Linked DNA regions of Danio rerio. The protein of the gene in region 1 purifies or fractionates together with the protein of each later gene. This does not show direct contact. Links are inferred from orthologs where the notes say so. Each region holds a gene or a part of one and is shown in the gene's direction. Other genes may lie near its edges.

The links.
Region 2: the proteins of prkcz (region 1) and csnk2b purify together in Homo sapiens (affinity purification with western blotting; 3 studies listed by BioGRID and IntAct, with this or other methods). This does not show direct contact. The link is inferred for Danio rerio from reciprocal best matches to the Homo sapiens genes PRKCZ and CSNK2B.
Region 3: the proteins of prkcz (region 1) and llgl2 purify together in Homo sapiens (affinity purification with mass spectrometry; 7 studies listed by BioGRID and IntAct, counting the BioPlex papers as one, with this or other methods). This does not show direct contact. The link is inferred for Danio rerio from reciprocal best matches to the Homo sapiens genes PRKCZ and LLGL2.

Annotation. Positions count from the first base shown.
Region 1 is NC_133183.1:19,584,196-19,591,645, reverse strand, and holds the start of prkcz (protein kinase C zeta type), read left to right. Parts: upstream 1-3,520; 5' UTR 3,521-3,997; coding exon 3,998-4,262; intron 4,263-7,450. UniProt on the Homo sapiens protein: Calcium- and diacylglycerol-independent serine/threonine-protein kinase that functions in phosphatidylinositol 3-kinase (PI3K) pathway and mitogen-activated protein (MAP) kinase cascade, and is involved in NF-kappa-B activation, mitogenic signaling, cell proliferation, cell polarity, inflammatory response and maintenance of long-term potentiation (LTP).
Region 2 is NC_133194.1:29,148,068-29,155,517, reverse strand, and holds the start of csnk2b (casein kinase II subunit beta), read left to right. Parts: upstream 1-2,938; 5' UTR 2,939-2,974; intron 2,975-3,581; 5' UTR 3,582-3,590; coding exon 3,591-3,662; intron 3,663-6,168; coding exon 6,169-6,271; intron 6,272-6,525; coding exon 6,526-6,641; intron 6,642-6,728; coding exon 6,729-6,804; intron 6,805-7,450. UniProt on the Homo sapiens protein: Regulatory subunit of casein kinase II/CK2.
Region 3 is NC_133187.1:35,652,594-35,659,943, reverse strand, and holds part of llgl2 (LLGL scribble cell polarity complex component 2), read left to right. Parts: intron 1-548; coding exon 549-699; intron 700-795; coding exon 796-912; intron 913-2,827; coding exon 2,828-2,994; intron 2,995-3,066; coding exon 3,067-3,328; intron 3,329-4,575; coding exon 4,576-4,738; intron 4,739-5,485; coding exon 5,486-5,514; intron 5,515-7,322; coding exon 7,323-7,350. UniProt on the Homo sapiens protein: Part of a complex with GPSM2/LGN, PRKCI/aPKC and PARD6B/Par-6, which may ensure the correct organization and orientation of bipolar spindles for normal cell division.

The DNA of each region.
Region 1 (7,450 bases):
TTTTTCTGGGAGTAATATTTCTGAAGAAGCTGTTGACATGGAATAGAAGCAGAAAAAAAAACAATACAAACATAAAAAAATAAAGAAAAACTGAAAATGAGTTATGTGTAAAAACAATGAAATGACACAAGGAGAAAGTGCTGAACTACTGAAACGTATTTAATACTTTACATAAAAGTTTTTTTTTTGGTGATGACAGCTTAAAGACACCTCTTTTATGGAGAATGAAGTCACATGAATTGCTCACGTTGTGAGTGGTTAATGGTTCTCTTGAAGGTTTTGGCTCTCGTCTATCAAATCTGATCTTTACTTTGTATTTTCTATTGGATCCTAGTCGGGTAATTGGCTGGACCATCAGCTTGATTTTCTTTCTCTGAAAGCATTTGAGAGTTTCCTTGGATGTGTTTTGGATCATTGTCTTGCTGAAATGTCCACCCTGATTTCATCTTCATCATCCTGCTAATGTAGATGTTGGACTGAAGCAGCTAGTATTCATTTACACTGAGGAAGGACTGAGGGTTGCTGAAGAACTACTGAGAGATTTCAGCTGCTGTTTGGGCTTTCACTGGCTTTCTACACCTCCCTTTATTCATGTGTTCAATACTTCATCCTTGCATCATTTTATTTATTCTTCATTATGCATAACTTCATTTTTAAACTAATAAGAGTTGTTTTATTTGCGTATATGGATGTTTTTTGGTTGTTACCAACATCCGGGGGAAATTTCAATGGCACCTTTAAAATATGTTTTCTAAGAAAAACGGTGAAGTGTTCAATACTTATTTTCCCTGCTGTGAATAACATTTTAGAAAAATTGTAATATGTTTCTAATTCTAAATTAATCTGTGGATGTATGGTGATAACTATTAATTATGTATTTTTGCTTGTATTTATTTATTTATTTATTGATGATTTGTAAATATTTAAATCAGAAAAAAGTATGTATATATATTTTTAAGTCTTATGAGTTTATATAATACTTAATGGAAGCAATTGAAGTTTATAGAAAAGAGGATTCACCAAGAAGAGAAGAGTAAATGATGATATGGTTGTAATTTTAGAGTGAATAACTGTACCGAGGCTGGATTGATATTGCTGTGCTGTGTGATGGTGTTTGTTGGCTTTGCTGAGAGTTGGTGTTTGATCAAAAATGTCTGTGTTTGGTCTTCGGGCTTTGCTGAGGTGTGTAGGAGTTTCTCTGTCAGATTAATCCCTGATCTCACAGTCTTCATGCAATCTCCTGAGTCCTTTGATTCTATCAGTGGTTGCGAACTCTTGCTGTTTGTTTAACATCAAAAACGGGATTATTTCAGAAAGTAAGTCACATTGACTCTTGCAAAAATGATTGCCCTTTTTTTAGCTCTGTATTTCAAAACAGACACTTTACTTTACATTAAATGTAGTATGACAGATGGTTATATGGAGAGTAAGGGATTGTATCTTTTTATTAAGACACTTTTAGTCATTGCATGTTGAATACCTTATGCAAACACATGAGGAGATGTCTCTCCTTAAAAGTCTCACCAATGGCAGATTAGCATGGAATGTCAACCCTGGTATTGAAGGATATTACATATACCGGAATGTGGAGGATGTGAGAACATGATTGACAGGGCACATACTGTATCTAAGTAACAAAACAGTCCATTAATGACTATGTTTCAAGGCTTGACTACTCTTTAGCTAATAATTCAGGAGGGCTAATAATTCTGACTTCAACTGAATGCCCATTCCCAAAAAGAGTATACTTTTAGAGCATATCCACAAACTGGATTTGGGATTAGTAAAAAAAAAATTACATCAGAATTACTTTGAGATGCATGAACTGTCTGCGCTGGTTTGTTTGGAACTATTTCTGTTGTTGAAACAAAAGGAAATAGACTATAATGTGTCAAAAAAAGGATTATAAATCAAACTTTGAAATTGATAAGGAATTATTTGCACCATGTGTAATAAAAAACATTCTTCTTCTTACAGTTCATAGTTTCCTGTAAAAGTTTTTGCAGTGTTTGCATGTAAAAGTTGCTCGGTTATTTATAGGATCTTGCTGTAGGTTCAAGTGTTTTTTTCACGCAAGTATGCAGCATTCAAGTGGTGGCACAGCAAAAATGCTTTTCTTAGTTTGTCTTTTTTTTCTAGTTCAAAAATTGACAAATTCTTTAAATCAAGAAGTATTTTCTACACAACTAAATAATATTGTCTTATTAATATTATGTCAAAATATAAAGTTTTTCCTTAAAACTTAAGAAAAGCATTTTTTTTGTAGTGCGTATGGTTTCTAAGGTGTGGCTAGGTGGTTGCTATGTTGCTTTGGATGCTTGGTTACAAAGTGTACTTCCAAGTCTTTATTACATAATGTACAGTTGAAGTCACATTAATCAGTCCTCCTTTGAATTTTTTCTTATTTAAATGCTTACCAAACGATGAATACAGAGCAAGGGATTTTATACAATTCCTTTTAATATTTTTTTTTTCGGAAATTAGTTTAATTTTGGCTAGAATAAAAGTTGTTTTGAAAAGCATTTTTTTGTAGTAAAATATTTTAAGGTCAAACGTATTTGGCGTCTTAAGCAATATACTGTTGAAGTCAGAACTATTAAACCCCCTTTGAATTTTTTTCTTTTTTAAAATTTTTCTCAAATGATGTTTAACAGAGCAGGGAAATTTTCACCGTTTGTCTGATAATATTTTTTTCTGGAGAAAGTCTTATTTGTTTTATTTCAGCTAGAATAAAAGCAGTTTTTTACATTTTAAAAAACATTTTAAGGTCAAAATGATTAGCCCCTTTAAGCTATTTTTTTTTCGATAGTCTACAGAACAAACCATTGTTATACAATAACTTCCCTAATTACCCTAACCTGCCTAGTAAACCTAATTAACCTAGTTAAGCCTTTACATTTTACTTTAAGCTCTATAAAAGTGTCTTGAAAAATATCTAGTAAAATATTATTTACTGTCATCATGACAAAGATAAAAGAAGTCAGTTGTTAGAAATGAGTTATTAAAACGATTGTGTTTAGAAATGTGTTGAAAAGCCGAAATTTGGGAAAAAATAAACAGGGGGGCTAATTATTCAGGTGGGCTAATAAGTCTGACTTTATCTATATATTCTTTATTTAATGTAACTCGCTTAAGTATAATTATTTTTTTATCATCCACCACAACTTGCTTTCCTCAAGAGTCTGGCTAAATTAAGGTATTATTTATGTCCATGCCACAAACAGTAAGTGGCGAAATTGTAATACATTAAGTATCAAATTTATTCAGATTACCACTAATTATCAAAAAGTCCCAGCCATTATCAACCATCCTCCTCCTCCTTCTCATACACCACACACTAAGCTCTTTCACCATCCACCCTGATGCTCCGCTCCCTCGCGCTCCATGCCACGTTTTCCAGCGGGCCCCTCAGCTGTTTGCCACCGGCTCTCTGGGGACTCAGCTACACCCTGACGAAAGGATGAGAGTGAGAGAGAGAGAAAAGGACGAGAGAGTGAAATAATAGAGAAGAGAGGCGAAGAGTGCAGAGCAGAGCCAGGCACCGTAGCAAAAATATCCGTTCTGTGTTGCAGGAACTCCCTCCTTTTGTTTGTGCCGCCCGTCTCAATTAGGGCTTCCAGCAGAGCTGCCCGTTCCATCAATCCATCCATCCATCCATCCATCCATCCATCCATCCATCGAGGACGCAGCCTATACAAGGACAGCCAGCTGTAACGACCGCACGCAGGGAGCGACGGAGCGGCAGGGAGGGGGAGAAATAATTAAATAAGTCGCAAGGAAGAGGAGAGATTGAGTGAACAGAGGAGACGGCGAGGGAGGAGGGGATGTAGCCGGTGCGTCGTTTGGAGGCTGCCAGGGGAAAATGTGCTGAAACGAGCAGAAAACAGGAAGATACCGGTGAGCACCGCAACGTCGACATCTTTCCCATTTTGTCCACCCCTTCCATCTCATTTTGTGTGTGCGTGCGGATGCGAAGGCGAATCCGCCGTGTGCCTGCATGTTTGATGCATTCTGTTTATTCTCATCCCACCTTGCGGTGACTCGATGGCTCGTCTTTCGCTTGCCACTCTCGGGTCTGAACCTGTTGGCGAGTGCGGCAGTGTTGGTGTATGTGTGTGCGATTTGCCTACCTGGCATGTTTAGTCAGACTTCCAGAGAGCAGCTAGCATCCTTTCATTTAGCTTTCACACACAAAGGAAGACACAGACACACTCTCTTAGCTCTTGGTGCCGGAGACCCGATGCATCCTAAGAAGGCTGACGGTATGTGAACGGCGCTCTATCAGGCTATTGTGTGCATATTATTAAGAGTTTAGGGCTAACTAATAGATGGAAATGTGGGCTGGCGACTCTGATTTGTGTCATTATGATTGGTTTATCACATCCCTTCGCTATTTCCAAAGAGGTTGGTTAAAATAGATGCTCATGCATTATTTAAGTCTGACTGTCATAATTAGCGAGATGTCAGTTATCCAGCAGCTCTTGGCCACGATGCACCCAAACACGAGGCTCTGCATCTCTCCCGTGACTGAAGACACAAGGAGTCACATTCATGTTAGTTTGTTTCTAACGTTCTTGGGGAGTAACAAAGGGGAATTGTGTTCGGTTGGAACGCCAGGATCCTGATACTGTTGTCGAATGACGTTAGATTCATTTCTGAGTTGATTTTTGTATCAGATGGACCTGCAGACACACTGGGAGTCCGGTTGAGCTTTGGCTCAATGAACCCTGTTTGGTTTGTTTTCATGGTGCATTAAGTCTCCAACTTGTCCTTGGTGTGTTGCAGCCAAAAGCAGCAGTTTTTGAGTGGTTTGTGTCTTAAATGCTGCTCGGTGTTGCTGTTTTTAGCTGCAGTGTCTGTGTTGGGATGTCATATGATCCACCTGTTCCAGTATTGATTGGCAATAAATCTAAATATGGCCACTGCAGCACACCAGCGCCTGCTCGGGAGAACCCTGATGATGCGAAGTAAATGTCTTCTAACAAATCTGTGAAGGGTTATTGATGCGTTTGGTTATTTATAACTTGGCTGGTGGTGGTCCAGTCCTGATGTAATAAATGCGGGATGCTGTTTTTAAAGGTGTTGGTCACCTAACAGAACTAAAGCAGATTCTTAAGCAGAACACTATAGAATGTTGTTAGCTGAAACTGTAGTTGATTTATAAAATGCAGGTCAATGATTACGGGCACCTTTTGAGAGTCAGAAAACATACACAAGCAAATCAAAACAAATAATCATGACTGGTAATAAATTAAAGTTGCAATCAAATTAAAATTTTGTCTTCCTATTTTTTTTATACTATAAATGATGGCTGTGTGTGCTTCATTATTTTGTAAAGATTAAATACCATAACCTTCCCTTTCCCCTGAAATGACTTTTCTTCACTTCAGGTCACATGGAAAGGCTTTTGGGAGGGACATGTCTCCTTACTTTTGTCCATTCATCAATCTTCCTTTATTTTGTTAGCAGTATCCATCTTGCAATGATACAATCGGTTCTCAAATAACAAAAAACTTTAATGTCTTGATCACAATTCAAACTACTAAAGACCAGCAGGGACAAAGCAACAATTGACTATTCATATCAATGGAGAGCTAGAGACTTCTGGCATTCTCCCAACTATACAAGTGACAACAACTGTTGGTGACTGTATGTGTGGATGTCCAGCAATACAAAAAAGCTGAGAATCCTTCAACCTTATCCAAATGAAGAACGACTTTCGTTAGCAACAGCCAATAAGAGCATTAGTAGAGCTCACATGATCTTCTCTCAGCTTCTGCACCAGCCGGTTGGATATTCAACTTTCTGTAGAGCTGTGAGTTAGCCGTTAGTCGTGTTTGTTTATTTCTTGTTAATCATTGTATGCCCTCTGCAATGTTTATTTTCGAGTGGCAGGAAAACTAATTGGCTGACATGAACTGCAAGCTGTTTGCCAAGGTTCATGTTCAGTCTTTTCTATAAACCTGTGCAGTTGTGTTAGTACTTGCAATAAGTTTCTGGCTGTCATTCACTGAATGGCCACTGGTATCACTATTAACAAGAGTTTTTGAATTCAGTATATAGTATCAAAGACTCTAGAATACTCCAGACATGTCAGTCGTATACTTTTGAATGGGGAAAAGCGTAAATGTCAATATGGTGAATGAAGCCCCGCCTACTAGTACAGGAGCCACATCACATGAAAGCAGCAAGAACTCAAACTATGCCCCACAAACTAGTAAACAGATTCGCCATTAAGACCAAGTTGTGAATTACTTCAGAAGACTAGCGGAATCGGACGATCGTTATTCAGAGAATGATAATGTGTAAAACAGCCATAAATAAGGTTGGTGTCGGGATCTCGTTCCTTTCGAGTGTGCATGCGCATTAGCTCGGTCAACCTGAAAAATGTCAATTTTTTTTGATTGGAACGTTTAGAAATTAAACTAAAAAGACAAATTTTATTGGCAATTCCAAATATGTAATGTAATTGTAAGCTTGACAAACAGTTTTGGAGAATTTGATGTTTCTCCATTTAGACAGAATGCACGAGCGTACTGGCCGAGAGGTCTTTCAAAAATGGCTGCGGGGTGAAATCACTTGCCTTAAAGGGATTTCGATTAATTATTATTTTGATGGATAATTATTTTTTAAGGTGATTTTTACTTTTAATTGGACAGGACAGTATAGGTTGCAGACAGAAAAGTATTAGGAGCAGAGAGAGTTGAAGAGTTGGCAAAGGACCTCAAGCCGGGAATCGATCTCGGATTGCCGTGAGCACCATGGTGCTATATGTCGACGCACTTAACCACTAGGCTATTGGCGCCGACTTTCAGCTGTCTTTAAGGTTGTATGAAAACTATTATTGAACACCGGCCATTCTTCTCTTAGGACAATTTTTTATGTTTTTGATCCACTTCAAATGTTAAATGCTGTATAGCCTCTTTAAATGCAAAGTCTAGAATGGATTCAACTGCGGCTACTAAGTATGCACACATAAATATACCATCATTTTTGTGACACTAAGTACTGTTCTCACATTACTCTGAAGGATTGGTTTAGGGTTGGGGTAGGTGTATGTGTAAACCTAAAAAAAACTATTTCATTGGTAATTTAATGGGATATTTCACCCAAAAATGAAAAGTACTCCCTGTTAACTGTTTCAAGCTTTCTTCAAAATATTTTCTTTTCTTTTCATCAGAAGAAAGAAACTCAACTGATTTGGATCAAGTAAAGGGAGAGTAAATGTTAACAGAATTTTTATTTGTGTGTGTGTGTAAACTATCACTTTAATAAGTAAACAAAAATCTAGTTAGCTTCCGGCCACAGCTGTATCCTTTCTAGCAACTCTCTTTAACCAAATTTCACCATGAAGAACTTGAGTCGGTCAGCAGTTTTAGCACTGATCTGGTCCTCAAGCTGAGATCAGCAGCAAGCCAGCACTAACCAGCAGAAGCCAGTCTTACAATTC
Region 2 (7,450 bases), on another chromosome or scaffold:
ATTAAGGGTTCAAATTTGCCCACTGGCCTCCTAACCATCCACATATCATAATAGCCTTCATCACTCATGTCTCCTCTCCTCTACATCAATCTCACCCCATTGTGTAAAGCACTTTGAGTGTCTAAGAAGCGCTATATAAATGTAAGGAATTATTAATATAAAGAGTTCAGATGCAAAAACCTGTAAGTGCCATCTCAAATGTTCTTCAAATATTAACATTTCTCTCAGGCTCCTGTGTCTTGATTTAGTAATTTCACTTTTTGGCATAAAATCGATTATCTTCATTGCTTGTAATATGAAATATCTGAACATAAACAGAATAGGCTAAGAAAAATGCTCATTATAGAAGAACATTCCAGATGGTGTTTAGAGGTTTTTGCATCTCAACTCTTAGAGTAATCCCAAGCAATGCTAAGAAAATTCATTTTAAAATTCTACACTAAATACACCTGATAAATGCATTGATCTCAAAATTGACTGATATTGCAGATACTTGTTTCTTCTGTCAGGAAAGTGAGGAAACTTTGCTCAAATGTTCAATGGAACTCCCGCTTTCCCTCATTTGCCCATTTCTTAATTGAATTGGACTATTGGCACAGCTCCTGTTTTTCAGCCAATGATCAACTTCCGGTAAAAAGTTTAAGTGACTATTTTCATTTTCATACAGTTTCTTTATTGAAACCTCAGACTAAAAGTGACACGGGGCATCGCAGTTGTGCAGTGGGTAGCACAATCGTAAGACGGTCGCTGGTTCAAGCCCTGGCTGCAGGGGCGCCCCCAAGTCTGGCCACCCTAATATGATTTTGCTGTTAAAATTATTCATTTAAATGTACTTATGTAAATTCACAATATTAGAATAAATAATTAATAAATAGCCACTAAATGACTGTGGGTTGATAGGTGCCCCTCCCCGATCGTTGTTGACAGCACACACACACCTTCATTAGACAGCAATGGCAAGTTAATATTTACCTTAAGGTACATCAATAGAAGAAGCGGTATTAATAATAGTCATGCTGGTAGACAAGGAAGACATTTTAGTTTTATTCAAAACAAAGTCACTAATCACAAAAGGAATTCAAAGGGTTGATGTATGCTGTTGTGATCTTCATACACAGCAATGTGAGTGTCAATAGTGTAGCATTCAATCTCACTAGAAGTTCGCTCGCTGTAGACACAGCAGGTGAGTACACAGATACACAGCTCAGAGTGATAGCAGATCTTCTAGTAAACATCAGATAAGAATAATCACTTCTGTTGATCAGTATGAAGGACACGGAAACTCATAAGAAACATCCATGGAAGAAGGTGAGAAGACGAAAGAGCAAAGGTGAAGACAACCATCTGACTTCAATATCAGCCGATGAGTGAACCGAGAAGGTGGGTCTTTATAGTGTGCATGGGTAAAGGGGAGCTGGTGCAAAAGAAGTCTGGTGAAGAATCACTGGATTGGATGGAGGTGGTATTTGAAGGAGAACGTTGATTGGGTGAGCAGGAATGAGCCGGGGTTGTGACAATAATATTCATTCATTTTTTTTTTGGCTTAGTGCCTTTATTAATCCGGGGCTGTGAAATGAACCACTAACTTATTTAGCAGGTTTTTACGCAGCGGATGCCCTTCAGCCACAATCAATCTCTGGGTAACATCCACACACACACACACTCATACACTACTGACAATTTAGCTTACCCAATTCACCCGTAATGCATGTCTTTGGACTGTGGGGGAAACTGGAGCACCCAGAAGAAACTCACGCAAACGCAGGGAGAACATGCAAACTCCACACAGAAACGCCAACTGACCCAGCCGAGGCTCGAACCAGCGACCTTCTTGCTGTGAGGCGACAGTGCTACCTTCTGCGTCGCTGTGACAATAACAGTGTGGCTCAAAAAGGAATATGGATAAATTATATTATTAGCGTCTGTTTAGTGTGTGTTGTGTGTGTGTAGTATTGCTTTTTGTTTAGTTTGTTCATTTGTGTGTAGTATTAATTTATTAATTAATCTTCAATAATTTTAGACATGGTTTATACTGTATGCTGTACGATAAAGGTATGTAAAATTAACTGAAAAGTATGTTATATGAGGAGTGTTTTTAAACTAAATATCTAAATAATAATAATAAATATATTTTTATTTGGTTTGCACATGTACTTGCTGAAATATTTCAAGGAATAAATTGCAATATTTCAAGAGTAATTAGTTAAATGAATTAAAACCACATTAATATATTTACCAAAAACAAAAGAATAACTTTTTGCTGAATTCATTATTTTTTGTGTGGCACCCCAAGATTTGGTGCAGCCTCTTCTGGCCATCCCTAAGAAAATTTTCTAGGGACACCACTGCCCGGCTGGGTCAGTTGACATTTCTGTGTGGAGTTTGCATGTTCTCCCCGTTTTCGAGTGGGTTTTCTCCGGGTGCTCCGGTTTTCCCACAAGTCAAAAAAAAAAAAAGGATGAAGAATGTGAGTTGAATTAAGCTAAAATTGGCCTTTAATGTACAAGTGTAAATGAGTGTGCATGGATGTTTCCCAGAGTTGGGTAGCAGTTGGAAGGGCATCTGCTGCGTAAAACATATGCTGGATAAGTTGGCGGTTCATTTCGCTGTGGCAAGCCTTGATTAATAAAGGGACTAAAGTTAAGCCAAAAAGACAAATGAATGAATGAATAAAAGTGACATGCCCGCCAGCTACGGATCACGTGTCAGTTACTTTCATTGAAATATCAGTTTTTCTGACCTAAGTAATTGATCGCATCAATAGAATATTACACGAAAACGAATGCAAGGAAACCAAAAAGTGAATATAGAAAAGGAACGACTCTACAACTCAGAAACTACAACTCCTACAAGATCAGCGACGTGAGCGGAAGTGAGGTGACTTGTGATCACGTGATGCACAGCGGAAGCCTCCAATCAGCGTACAGTTGTGTCGCTGCGGCTAACATCGACCCCGGGAGATCCTTGAGGTAACGTCAGTAAACGCTTTTATCGCTATTATGAGCAGGGATGTGAAGTAATTTCGACGTTATGTTAATTAGCATCTATTTATTTTAATTCGCAGTTTATTTCACACATCACGACGCTCCCCGTTTTACATAATTGTGGATCAGTCGGCGAATTTGATGCGGCCTAGTTTGAAGCAGCGGCAAGCTAACCACACCTAGCATTAGCTGAGCACACAAACCAGAAAATCAACACTTATTAAAACTCTTGCCTGGCTGTTAAACATCACAATGTTTTTTCGGCCTTAGATGGAACTATTGTGCATATGTATTTTACTGTATTCGTCATGAGGCTTAAAATGTGACCAGCAGGCTATGCTAGCGTGCGTCAGACCAGTCCAGTCAATTGTTTACGTGAAAACTGTTTAGACTCGATGCAGTTTGTTATAAACATGTACTCATCTTAAACGTATTAGCAACGCAATATAATTTGCTACCCGAGACTTATTAACAGGGCAGTATTAACCTATTTTCAGTAAAATTGTCGTATGTTACTATTAAAGTGACCCTTTCTTGTATTATTAATAGTGACTGCTACTTTTTACAGTGACTAATTGTTAATCTGCTTTTTTTTAGTTTCCCAACATGAGTAGCTCAGAGGAAGTGTCGTGGATTTCTTGGTTTTGTGGTCTACGGGGAAATGAATTCTTCTGTGAGGTTTGTATTGTCATCTTTGTAAGTTATTCTGTTATGTTGTATAATAAGCAGGTGTGTAATAATACACAGTTAAAAAAAATCGGTGTGTGCCTTTTGTTTGAAGACATATACAGGCATATAATGAAGATAGAATTGCAGTTTTGTGGTTTATTGAACATGTTTGATGACCTTTTTTACTGAAAGAACTTGCACATTAATAAAATGTTAAATGGTTCCATTATCCAGCAAAGCCTAGATTATTACATCCAGTTGCTGTATAGTTTGTACAATGTATTCTGCTACGTTTAATAGGCATGGTGCGATAACTGTTTTCAAGTTATACCATGGCTTGGAAAAGTCAAGGTTTTAAAACTTTCAATATTTTCTGCTGTACCGATCCTACGGTATATGTAAGTGGGTTTTTTTTAAGGTTTTTAGGATGGAAGTATCTCCAGCAGAAAAGATATCCAAAGATGCAGTTTTAAATTGTAAAGAAATCAGTGTTTTTGAAACTAAAGGAGTCGACAGAAGTCAATGATTCTTTTGAATTATTCAGCTTGACATGTTTACTGCTCCAAAATACTTAAATGTTACTCAAATTAAAATATATTGTGTTCTACAGGGAAAACAGTTTTAATTTTTTTTTACTCAGACATTTAAAAAGGATATATTTTAGAGCACCATGAATACCATGAAACCGTTGTGTTTTTATCCAAGGTAATCATATCGTCAGAATCTTATACTGGCCCATGCCTAACTTCTAATGCGTTAATAAAAAGAAAAGCTCCTAATTGTGTCAATGTTTAGGCAAAAAAACTATTCTTTCGAGTTTATATCTTAGAAATACACACTAAATTAAGGTAGATGACACATTTACATGCAGTTTTACTGATTAAGCGATTACATATGATGTGAGATGTTATTGAGGTAAAGTTAGTTTTATATTCGCACACTTGTACTTTCATCTTTTCAATATTGATTGGGTATAAACTGCAGTTGAAATCACCGTTCAGGGCTCGAAATTGCGACTGTTTTGGTCGCATATGCGGGCAAAATTTTATCCATGCGACCTCCAAATATATTTAGGAGCATTTGTGTGACTGCATAATATTGGTGCCGTGCGACCGGTTTTCACTGCAAAATGTTCACCACACATGCAGATTTAGGAGTCATTCGCGCAGAATGCATCTTAGCACCTGAGACGCCAAATGCAGCGCTCATGAATAGTTTAAAACAGTTGTTAAGTCAACTTGCTGCCATAAAGCGCACAATGCTTGCCCCACCCTCAAGCTCTTCTGATTGGCCCACTGCTCTAGAACTGAATGCGAACAAATTGGTTAATATCAGCTGTCAATCACTTGGTCGATGGCTTTCTTTAGATGACAGGGAGAGCTACAATCGCGAACATGTAGAGCACTGAAGATGAAAAAAAGAAAACACTGACAGATTTAGTTTTAGAAAACACCTAAAGTTACAAATAAAGACACGTCTGATTAGTGGTCATGTGGTTAATGTCAATCCAGCGTTTACTCTTTTCCAAGAGTGGATAAAAGACTTCCAGTGTTAAAAGTTCGCTATGAAAATGACTAAATCGTTAGGATGCTGTCAGCTGTGCAGGTGGCGCTATATGTAAAATGTAACACCACGAACACCATCGCAAAGTGGCTTGCATTTATCGACATACAACTTATATTGCAGCTAATATAATTGCAGTAAATCGCTTAATATAACATTAAAACTTGTAGTAACAGTGCTTATAATTGGTGGGTGCGACTAAATTTTTGCTTTTTAAAGTCGGGAGCACCAGTGCTACCATGCAAAATGTTTAATTTCGAGCCCTGCCAGTAGACATGAGCATCACCTTTGTGCTGATTCTGAAACGATGTTGTAGGAATGAATTTTCAGTGCTTCCCATGCATAGGCTTTACTTGGGCAGGCTGCCCAGGTATATCAAGCGTCCGCTCAAGTATATTTAGTGACACTTTTTTTTTTTTTAACTATTATTATTATTATCATCATCATCATCTTCCTTTTACACTTTTTTTGTATCCGCCCAATATCAACAAACATCCGCAAGCGATTAAGTAGTGGAAAATCTCTCCTTGACCCATTTTGTACTGTTCGTTCTGTGTGCGCGAGAACTGTCAACACTCCCACAAACTTTAAGCCATTGAAAAGAAAGTTTAAAACAGATCCTTAATAAATCAAAATATTGTGAAAATCTAATTATGTTTTGTTTGTCGCATATGGTTAACTATTTTTGTGCTCTGGGTAAAAGGTGTTTCAATCCGGCTACCACCGCAAGTATATTTGAAATCTGTGGGAAGCACTTAAAGTGGAATAAAATATACAGAACAAACCACCATCTGTCTGTCTAGCTAAAACAGCATCAAAAACTCTCTGAAACTGCTTTTTATATAAAAATAAAGCAGAAATCAGTTTTTTTGTTTAGTTTTTTTGAACAATTGTTTTATTTTCATTGATGCATTCCTAATGTGCTTTGCTCTTTTTCTTCCCCTCTATACAGGTGGATGAGGACTATATTCAGGACAAGTTTAATCTTACAGGACTCAACGAGCAAGTTCCCCATTACAGACAAGCTCTGGACATGATCCTCGATCTGGAACCTGGTCAGTCATTTAGTTTTTCTACACAATCCCACTTTTGTGCCATCATTATGGTCAGCATTTCTTTTAAATAATTCAACCTTAAGCTTTAATTAAACGCATTAACGGCCCAACCTGTCACTTACATGAGACTAGCCAATAGCTAAACCAGCATTCAGTCAATTGCCAATGGATGACGTCAAGTCCTGCCAAATATTTCTTGTTCTTGTTGGAAAGCAGTGTCATGTGAATAGTGAGATGATTCTTGTGTTCATCAGATGAGGAGCTGGAGGATAACCCTAACCAGAGTGACCTGATTGAGCAGGCTGCTGAGATGCTCTATGGGCTGATTCATGCTCGCTATATCCTCACTAACCGTGGCATTGCCCAGATGGTATGATCTCCTTTTCAATTTTTTGAATCATTTCATTTAAGAAAGATGTTATTGTATTGTGACATGATGTGCTGTTTTCTCTTGGAGCTGGAGAAATATCAGCAGGGAGACTTTGGCTACTGTCCTCGTGTTTACTGTGAGAATCAGCCAATGCTGCCTATTGGTGAGTGCCTCAGCCTGTTTTGTGCATGTTATTTTACCAACCCAGTTTTCATGTAGTAGAAAAATGTATAAGGTAAAAGTATTTGCAGTAGTTGCATATTGACATACAATTATTTAGTTGATTAAATATAACCATTTAAACGACACATTAATATTAATAAAAATAATAAAGAATATGTATCATTTGATTGAGCACTGTAGGCTCTGTCTTTAAAAGTTTTATGTAGGTCTATCCTTATATACAGTTAAAAACAAGTCATATTTTAAAATATTGGCACAAAAATCTGTACTTGTTTTTAATTTGTCATTTATTTATTTATTTTAAATGTATTTTTTATTTAAAAATAAATGTTTTTTTATTTTTAATTTCACCATGTCTTCACTTTAGCATTTAAGCACAAATATAATGTAACTTGTACACTGTATTTCACAGCGCCTACTTTGCTGATTTATTTCATGAGCACAACCGTTACTGCATGTTAAAAGCCAAAAGGCGGATTAAAACACAAGGAGTAAATGTGGAAGACTTGTGATCTGACGAAAGAGTGTAAACAGTGGAGCCTGTAGCATTAGCTGGCCAGCCAGTTCAGTTTGTTTGGTTTGACCCAATCTTGGGTTTTAGGTAACATGAAGTCAGCTCAATTTTA
Region 3 (7,350 bases), on another chromosome or scaffold:
ATAATAAAAATTTACTTTTTTTTTTTTGGCCCAATATATAGAAAAATTCAGCACACAATCTTCATCACAATCAAGACAGAGTTGCACTGTACAATTCAGGACATATACCGTTTAAGACATTGCAAAAGTCTTTCCAATAATTCAAGAACAATTTTGTGAATCTCTTTCCAGTACCTTTGGTTCTGTCACAGTGCCAAAATACATGCATTTCTGTGCCAATATTTTTACTATTATTATTTTTTGTACGGCTCTTTGTACGCCGGTTGAACTACTTTTGCAAATTTTCATTGCCAATCAAATTCACTGGTTTTGGGTCAGTTTGGAATTTTCACAACCAGCGCAGAGCCTCTGGGATTGAGAACTGCTGGTTTTACAATTATTATCTACCTCACATTTAAAACACAGCTGAGAACAATTGGGAAATATTCTATGAATGCTAACTGAGGGTTACATGAAGAGCTATTTCAGTAGCGATTGGCGCTGCATACTTCAGAGTTGTTGAAACAGTGGTGCTGGCTTGATGATGAATATTCTGGATCTTTCTGCAGCTGCAGGAGATCAATGCCAGGCTGGAGGCTGAGGCTCTGCAGGAGATGGAGCTGGCTCCTGTACAGAGAAAGATTGAAGCCCGATCATCTGATGACTCCTTCACAGGTCTCGTCAGAACGCTCTACTTCGCAGATACATTTGTCAGTGATAGTAAGTACCACAGGGTTTTTTAATCTGCAATTTGGGATTAGATTTTGGGTCTTATAACTGATATGATGACCTTAATCTTCTTCTTGTTTTCCTCAGGTTCTCACAGTACACCTTCACTGTGGGCAGGGACCAATGGCGGAGCTGTGTTTGCATATGTCCTCCGTGTCCCACCACAGGAACGAAGGGCAGAGGATCCAGTGACGGCTCATGCAGGTACAAAAACTAAAATCTGAAATAATAGTCAGAAATAAATTTCTTTGTTTGCTTTCAGCTGTAAAATCATATTTAATGTATCAAAAATAATTTGCCAAATAGGAGCACAGTTTTTTGTTGATTTTAATAATACAAAGTACTGTTGTGACTGCTACTGAATCATTATCTACATGGTGCAGGTGGTTGGTTGCTGTCACCTTAGCAGCCAATAAGCTTGTTCTTGAACATTCACATTCAGGTTCACATGTTTTTAGATCTGCTACGGGGAGTCACATATACAGTTGAAGTTAGAATTATTAGATCCCGGTTTATTTAAATTTATTTAATTTATTTAATAATTTTGACCTTAAAATGGTTCTTAAAAAAATTAAAAACAAAATAAAACAAAAAAATAAAACAAAAGACTTTCTCCAGAAAAAAAAATATTATCAGACATACTGTGAAAATTTCCTTACTCTGTTAAACATAATTTGGGAAATATTTAAAAAATGTAAAAAAAAAATTCTAAGGGGGCTCAACTGTATATTGCGTTTGCAGCAGCAGTATGTTAAATTTTCAGACTGTGTGACTGTGAACATGCTGACAATAGGAAGTCTCAGTACTTGCTCTGCTGCTTTGATAAAACAGCAGCAACATAGCAGCTTTATTCCGCCAAGACTAATCTAAGACTAAATAAAAAATGTGCATTATATTTTACATATTATAAAACGTGAAGCATATTAACAAAGCTTGTGTATTTGGGTCAAGCATGAAAATGTGTAATACAATTATAGTTTAAATAGTTTAAATGTTAAATAGTTTAAATACCAGAAAGATTTTGTGATGCATATTTAATGAACATGATGAAATGATTAAACATTAAAAGAGGCTTTGTATTTCTGTTTTTTTATTACTATTTCTCTATATGTAGGTTTTTATGTACAGCTCTTTGGTCAGTCATGTGGCTGTTTTTTAAATGTACTTAATAAATAAATATATATTTTAGCAATGATATTTCGAAACTACAGTGCTGATTAAAAGCACTAATTAACTGTCACTTTAAATCCCTTTGCTGTTATAATTTGAGCATGACATTTTTAATCAAAAACAAAATCCAAATGTTGAATGAAAACTTCATCTTTTTAATATTTTAGTTAGTAAAGAAAAAATGTTTCTTTATTTTTATATGTTAAGCTGAACAAAGTATTTCACCCTTATTGTAACATTTGAAGATGTTCACAATTATTCCAAACATAATAATGAACATTTTAAATGCATTTAATGTTCCTGTTTTGTACATCCTTTTTTATATTTAATGTTACACGGATACCAAAATGGGATCTCATGCTTTTGACCCGTAACATTTTACCCCAAACTTAAAAACAAAACAAAGCCTCAAATTTGCCTACAACGACACATAATGATGCTGTTTCTTTCACCATATTATTGACAAGGAAGCTTATTTTCTTTATGTGGAAACATACATCTCCACCTTCATATGATAGATAGATAAAATGTTTTTGATTTATTTATTTAAGGCTGGAAAGTAATTAGAATTTATTAAGAGGGCTTTTAAAACCTTTTTATAAAACACGGAAAACCTTTGTTGAATTACATTGATACTATTGATCTTGAAGCAGAAGAGGAACAACCCATTTTGGATATTAACTGTATTATTTAATAACTACATTTATTTGTATTATTTATTTATTTATTTGTTTATTTATTGTAAATGATCATTTGTACTTGTATTGTAAGGTTAGGAGATATGGGGGATTGTGGTGGGATATTTAAAAAGCAGCAATGGTATTATTTGTTTTGGTATGTATATGTTGTTGTATCTGGATAAAATGTTAATAAACATAATTGGCAAAAAAATAAAAGAAATAATAAATGAGTCAAATGCTTACTATAAAATGTGCTTTTCCATCACCAGCCAAAGAGATTCAGTTGATGCATCGTGCTCCAGTTGTCGGTTTGGTGGTCTTGGATGGGAAGGGAGCCCCTCTGCCCGAACCCCTAGAAGTGGCACATGACCTGGCACGCAGTCCTGAAATGCATGGCTCACACCATCTATTGGTTGTGTCAGAGGAGCAATTTAAGGTGAGAATTTGCACAGTACAGTTTGGGTTTCCACTATATGTCTTGTGTCTTACCGTAGTTGTGTGTGCGCAGCTTTTTACATTGCCCAAAGTGAGCAGTAAGTCGAAGCTAAAGCTGACGGCGGTGGATGGCTCTCGTGTGCGGCGTGTCGGTGTGGCTTGGTTTGGTTCTCGGACCGATGAACAGTTAGAGAGCTGTCTGGTGGTGCTGACGAATCAGGGGGAGCTCCACGTCATCTCTCTGCCCTCCATCAAAATGCTGGTCCATTATCCTTGCATACGGAGAGAAGACGTCAGTGGAATCGCATCCTGTGTCTTCACCAAATATGGCCAAGGTAAGAAAGAGCTGAATTTCACATACTGTACATGGTTTGATAAGCTGCTAGTATAAATGAAATAAGAGTTTTTAAATGTTGTTAAAGCTTGTACATGTAAAAACTGGTATCTGGAAACTTGTAGTTGTAAGAATAAAAAGTCAGAAAGAAGTAGTTCGAAATTTTGAGTTGGTTTTTGTTTTATTTTGTTGCAGATAGAGAAATTTATAAAAAATTTAAAAAAGAAAAAAGGTTAACACTAGAATAATGTAGAGCTGTAATCAGGCCATAAAATTTAGGCCCAATAGGGCCCGAGCCCAACAAGTACATTTTAATTCACTGCTTTTCAAAAGATCGAACCCATTTACAGCCCAAGTTAATTCTTTAGTTTCATAAATTTAGTAGGACTATTCCAGGAATTAATTATTCCATTTCATAATTAATTATTAAAGTATAACTTTAATTAAAACAAGGATATGCATTAATAAGAAGTGGTCGTGGAACAAATTTGTAATTCAAATTATGTTCAGAGCTCCGTAGTTTAAAATAGGCTAACAGTCAGTTAAACTATAGTATAAAATAACACACACAGCTGCCTTAATAAATAGGCTAAAAAATACACAGTTGATCACTGAGGCCTATTTTAAATCTTAATAAAAAACTGTACTGAAAGAAAAAAGGAAAAGCATTAATACCGCTTTGAAAGAGAAACTTATTTTATCGAAGTACTTTAATTTTAGACAGTTATTCAAATTTTTTTTAGTTACAAGCGGTAATGGTTTACCAGCGAGCAAGCATATGACCATGAAGCAGAATGGTTAGCGAAGTTTACTCCACTCCGCTCGCATGCTCTATCTGCTTCAATATATAAGTTCAGTATGTTCACTATGTTACATAACTGCCCCCTGCTGGCTTTGTATTTTGGATGTTAGTCCATGTTGTGCTGTGCTGCGCATTACTGCAGTACCATGTGACATCTTAATTCACTCGTGCATTCTCAGTAGCCACATCTGTACCTAAAATTCTAACAGAAACAAAAATGTGAGAATTGTCAGATGTAAACTAAGAATTCTGAAAGGAAAATTGCAAAATTTCAAGATGTGAACTTCTGAGGGAAATTAGCCAGAATTATGAGGTGAATATCCTGAATTCTGATGATAAAAAAAAACTGTTGCAAGTAAAACATTTGCATTCATTTTTTACAAACTCCCCAGTGTAAAGCAGCTTCCATGTGATAACCTGTGAAACTCTGTCTGGTCCTCTTGTAGGTTTCTACCTGATCTCTCCATCCGAGTTTGAGCGGTTTTCTCTCTCCACCCGTTGGGTCGTGCAACCTCACTGTCTGGTTGAGCCTCCCCTCCAGATGAGGTCCAAGAGCCCATCAAGCCCTGTTCACAGGGACTTGCCGGATGGAGTACCCACCGAACACAGGTGTGTGTAGTCATGTAAAGAGTATCACTAAACAAAGACAAATGCATCGTGTCTTTAACAATAAAATAATAACACATACAATGTCTAGCTATGAGACAGAAGGCTATTTAAAATCCTGCCTCTCCACTCATATATTTGTGACTTTAATTTAGTGGATACGCTTCATATAGAGAGCTTTAATACAACAATAAGTAAATAAACATACTCCATACAAAAATAAATGCATATAAACTCATGACATAAAATAATAAGACAACAGGATTTCAAATAGTGAAGCACAAGGAGAGAGTGTTATCAAAGCAGGCCATTCTCTTACTTTGTTCATTCTTGAAGTGCAATACTGTATGTTAAATATTGCATCTTTTGTGCAATGTTGTCTTTAACACTTTTATTTCACAGTCAATCACTGTGTTGTATTGTATCAATACTCCATTCGTATTTAAGATTCTGTTACATTATTCTTGTGTATATAGAATCTCACTACTCAGTTACTGTGCAATATGTTTACTCTTTTTTTGTTTGTTTGTTTTTTTGCACTGTAAGCTCTAATTTTGCTGTACTAAATACTCAGTACAGTGACAATAAAGAATTTTGAAACCTGTAAGTGCCATTTTGTATTTTTGGTGATTAGATTAGTTGTTTTAGACTGCTGTTTTAATAAGCGACACCATTTCAGATTTAGTTTCTGGTTGTAAAAAATGTACCAAAGTGTTAATATATTGATGTTTGTTTGTTTTGTCTTTCCAGAAATTTCAAAGGGGACAGTGAAGGATATGGTGAGATTCAGAGTTTTCTTCTCTTTTTTTTTTTCTAGTTGTGTGTGAGAACTAAACATCTAATACTAAAACGCATGTTGTTAGTGCTTTGTTGAATGCTTTCCCACATTATTCCCACAAGTCTCATGCAGATGACTTACAAACACAATCTGTAATTGATGAAACTGGGCCATGTTGAAAATTTCAATGTTATAAGTACTTGTTATTTATTTGAGGTGGTATGAACGGCAAAGCATCATACTATTGTATTTAAACAGCCTTCATGTCCACTCATTTAAATAATCATATAATTTACTGTATTTATGTACAGCTATTAAAAGACCACCTAAATGATCAGTTTCTTTGGATATGCAATTTATAATCATATAAGAAAAATACATGCGCAGATACAATAGTATGGCCTAAGAAATAAGCACTCTATTAGATTAGCAATTGAAAGCAACACGTGCAATATTTGATTATATTCAGAAATTATCTAAAATTAACTTCTGAATTTAATCAAATAATCCACATGTTGCTTTCAATTGCTAATCTAATTGAGTTTATTGCCACATTATCCGAATATAAAAGACCTTAATTTTATTTACTTTTTATTACGTTTTGATTTGACTCTTTTTTTTCCCATGTCCAGTGTAACAAGCTCTGTTTGCCATACATTTGTAAGTAAATGTTGAAAATAATGCAATAAAGTCTAAAAACAAAATAAAAATAGCATTTGTCAGAAAATAAAAATTGTTTTCAGACAAATGTCTATACATTATTTTGACAGAGAATGTTAATATTTTATTTTTATTAATGTTATTAAAATGTTTTTTATTGAATGCCAAATTCAATGCAAATTTAGATGTGTATTAGTCAACGTAGAAGCTGAAAAAAGAAGCAAAATATTTTTCTATTTTAGAGAAGGTAAAACATTTAAAAAATAAATAATAATAACAATGAATGAATATTAATAATATTAATAATAATAATATTTCAGAAGCGTATATGCAAAACTTAGAGTTCAGATCTCTATTTGGTAAAATAACCCTCATTTCAGTCAACTAATGAAAATATTTTCAAAAACCAAGTGCTGTGAATGAAAATATTTTATTATATACTATTATTTTTTTTAATATGGAAGAAATATCAAGCCTTTATCATGTAAAACATTTTACTCAAACCTATACTTAATAAATACAATAAAGCAATAAAATAAAAATATTAAATTAGCTGAATTATATAATTTATTATTATATTATTTTTAGATTATATAAATTATAAAATGTAAATAAAATTGTACTATTATTATTATTATTATTATTATTATTATTATTATTATTATTACAAGGTCGCTGGTTCCAGGCCTCGGCTGGGTCTGTTGGCATTTCTGTGTGAAGTTTGTATGTTCTCCATGTGTTTAAAATGCACTATAGGTGAATCGGGTAAGCTACATTGTCCATAGTGTATGTGTTTGAATGAGAGTGTATGGGGGTTTTCCAGTGATAGATTGCAGCTGGAGGAGCATCAGCTATGTAAAACATACGCTTGATAAGTTGCATTCCACTGTGGCGACCCCAGATTAATAAAAGGACTAAGCCGAAAAGAAAATGAACGAATGATTATTATTATTATTATTATTATTATTATTATTATTGTATTTTATTAGTAGATCATAATTAATAAAATATTTTAAAAAGCAGTATTTTAATAAAGGTAAAACATTGCTGTGGCCTGCCAGTACCCACAATTGCAGATTGTGTGAATAACTCCTCTTAAAAGTGTTTGCACGTTTGCGCTGGACTGATCCGTGTGCTTGTGTGTTCCAGAGAATTCTGCTAGACAAGTAATGGAGCA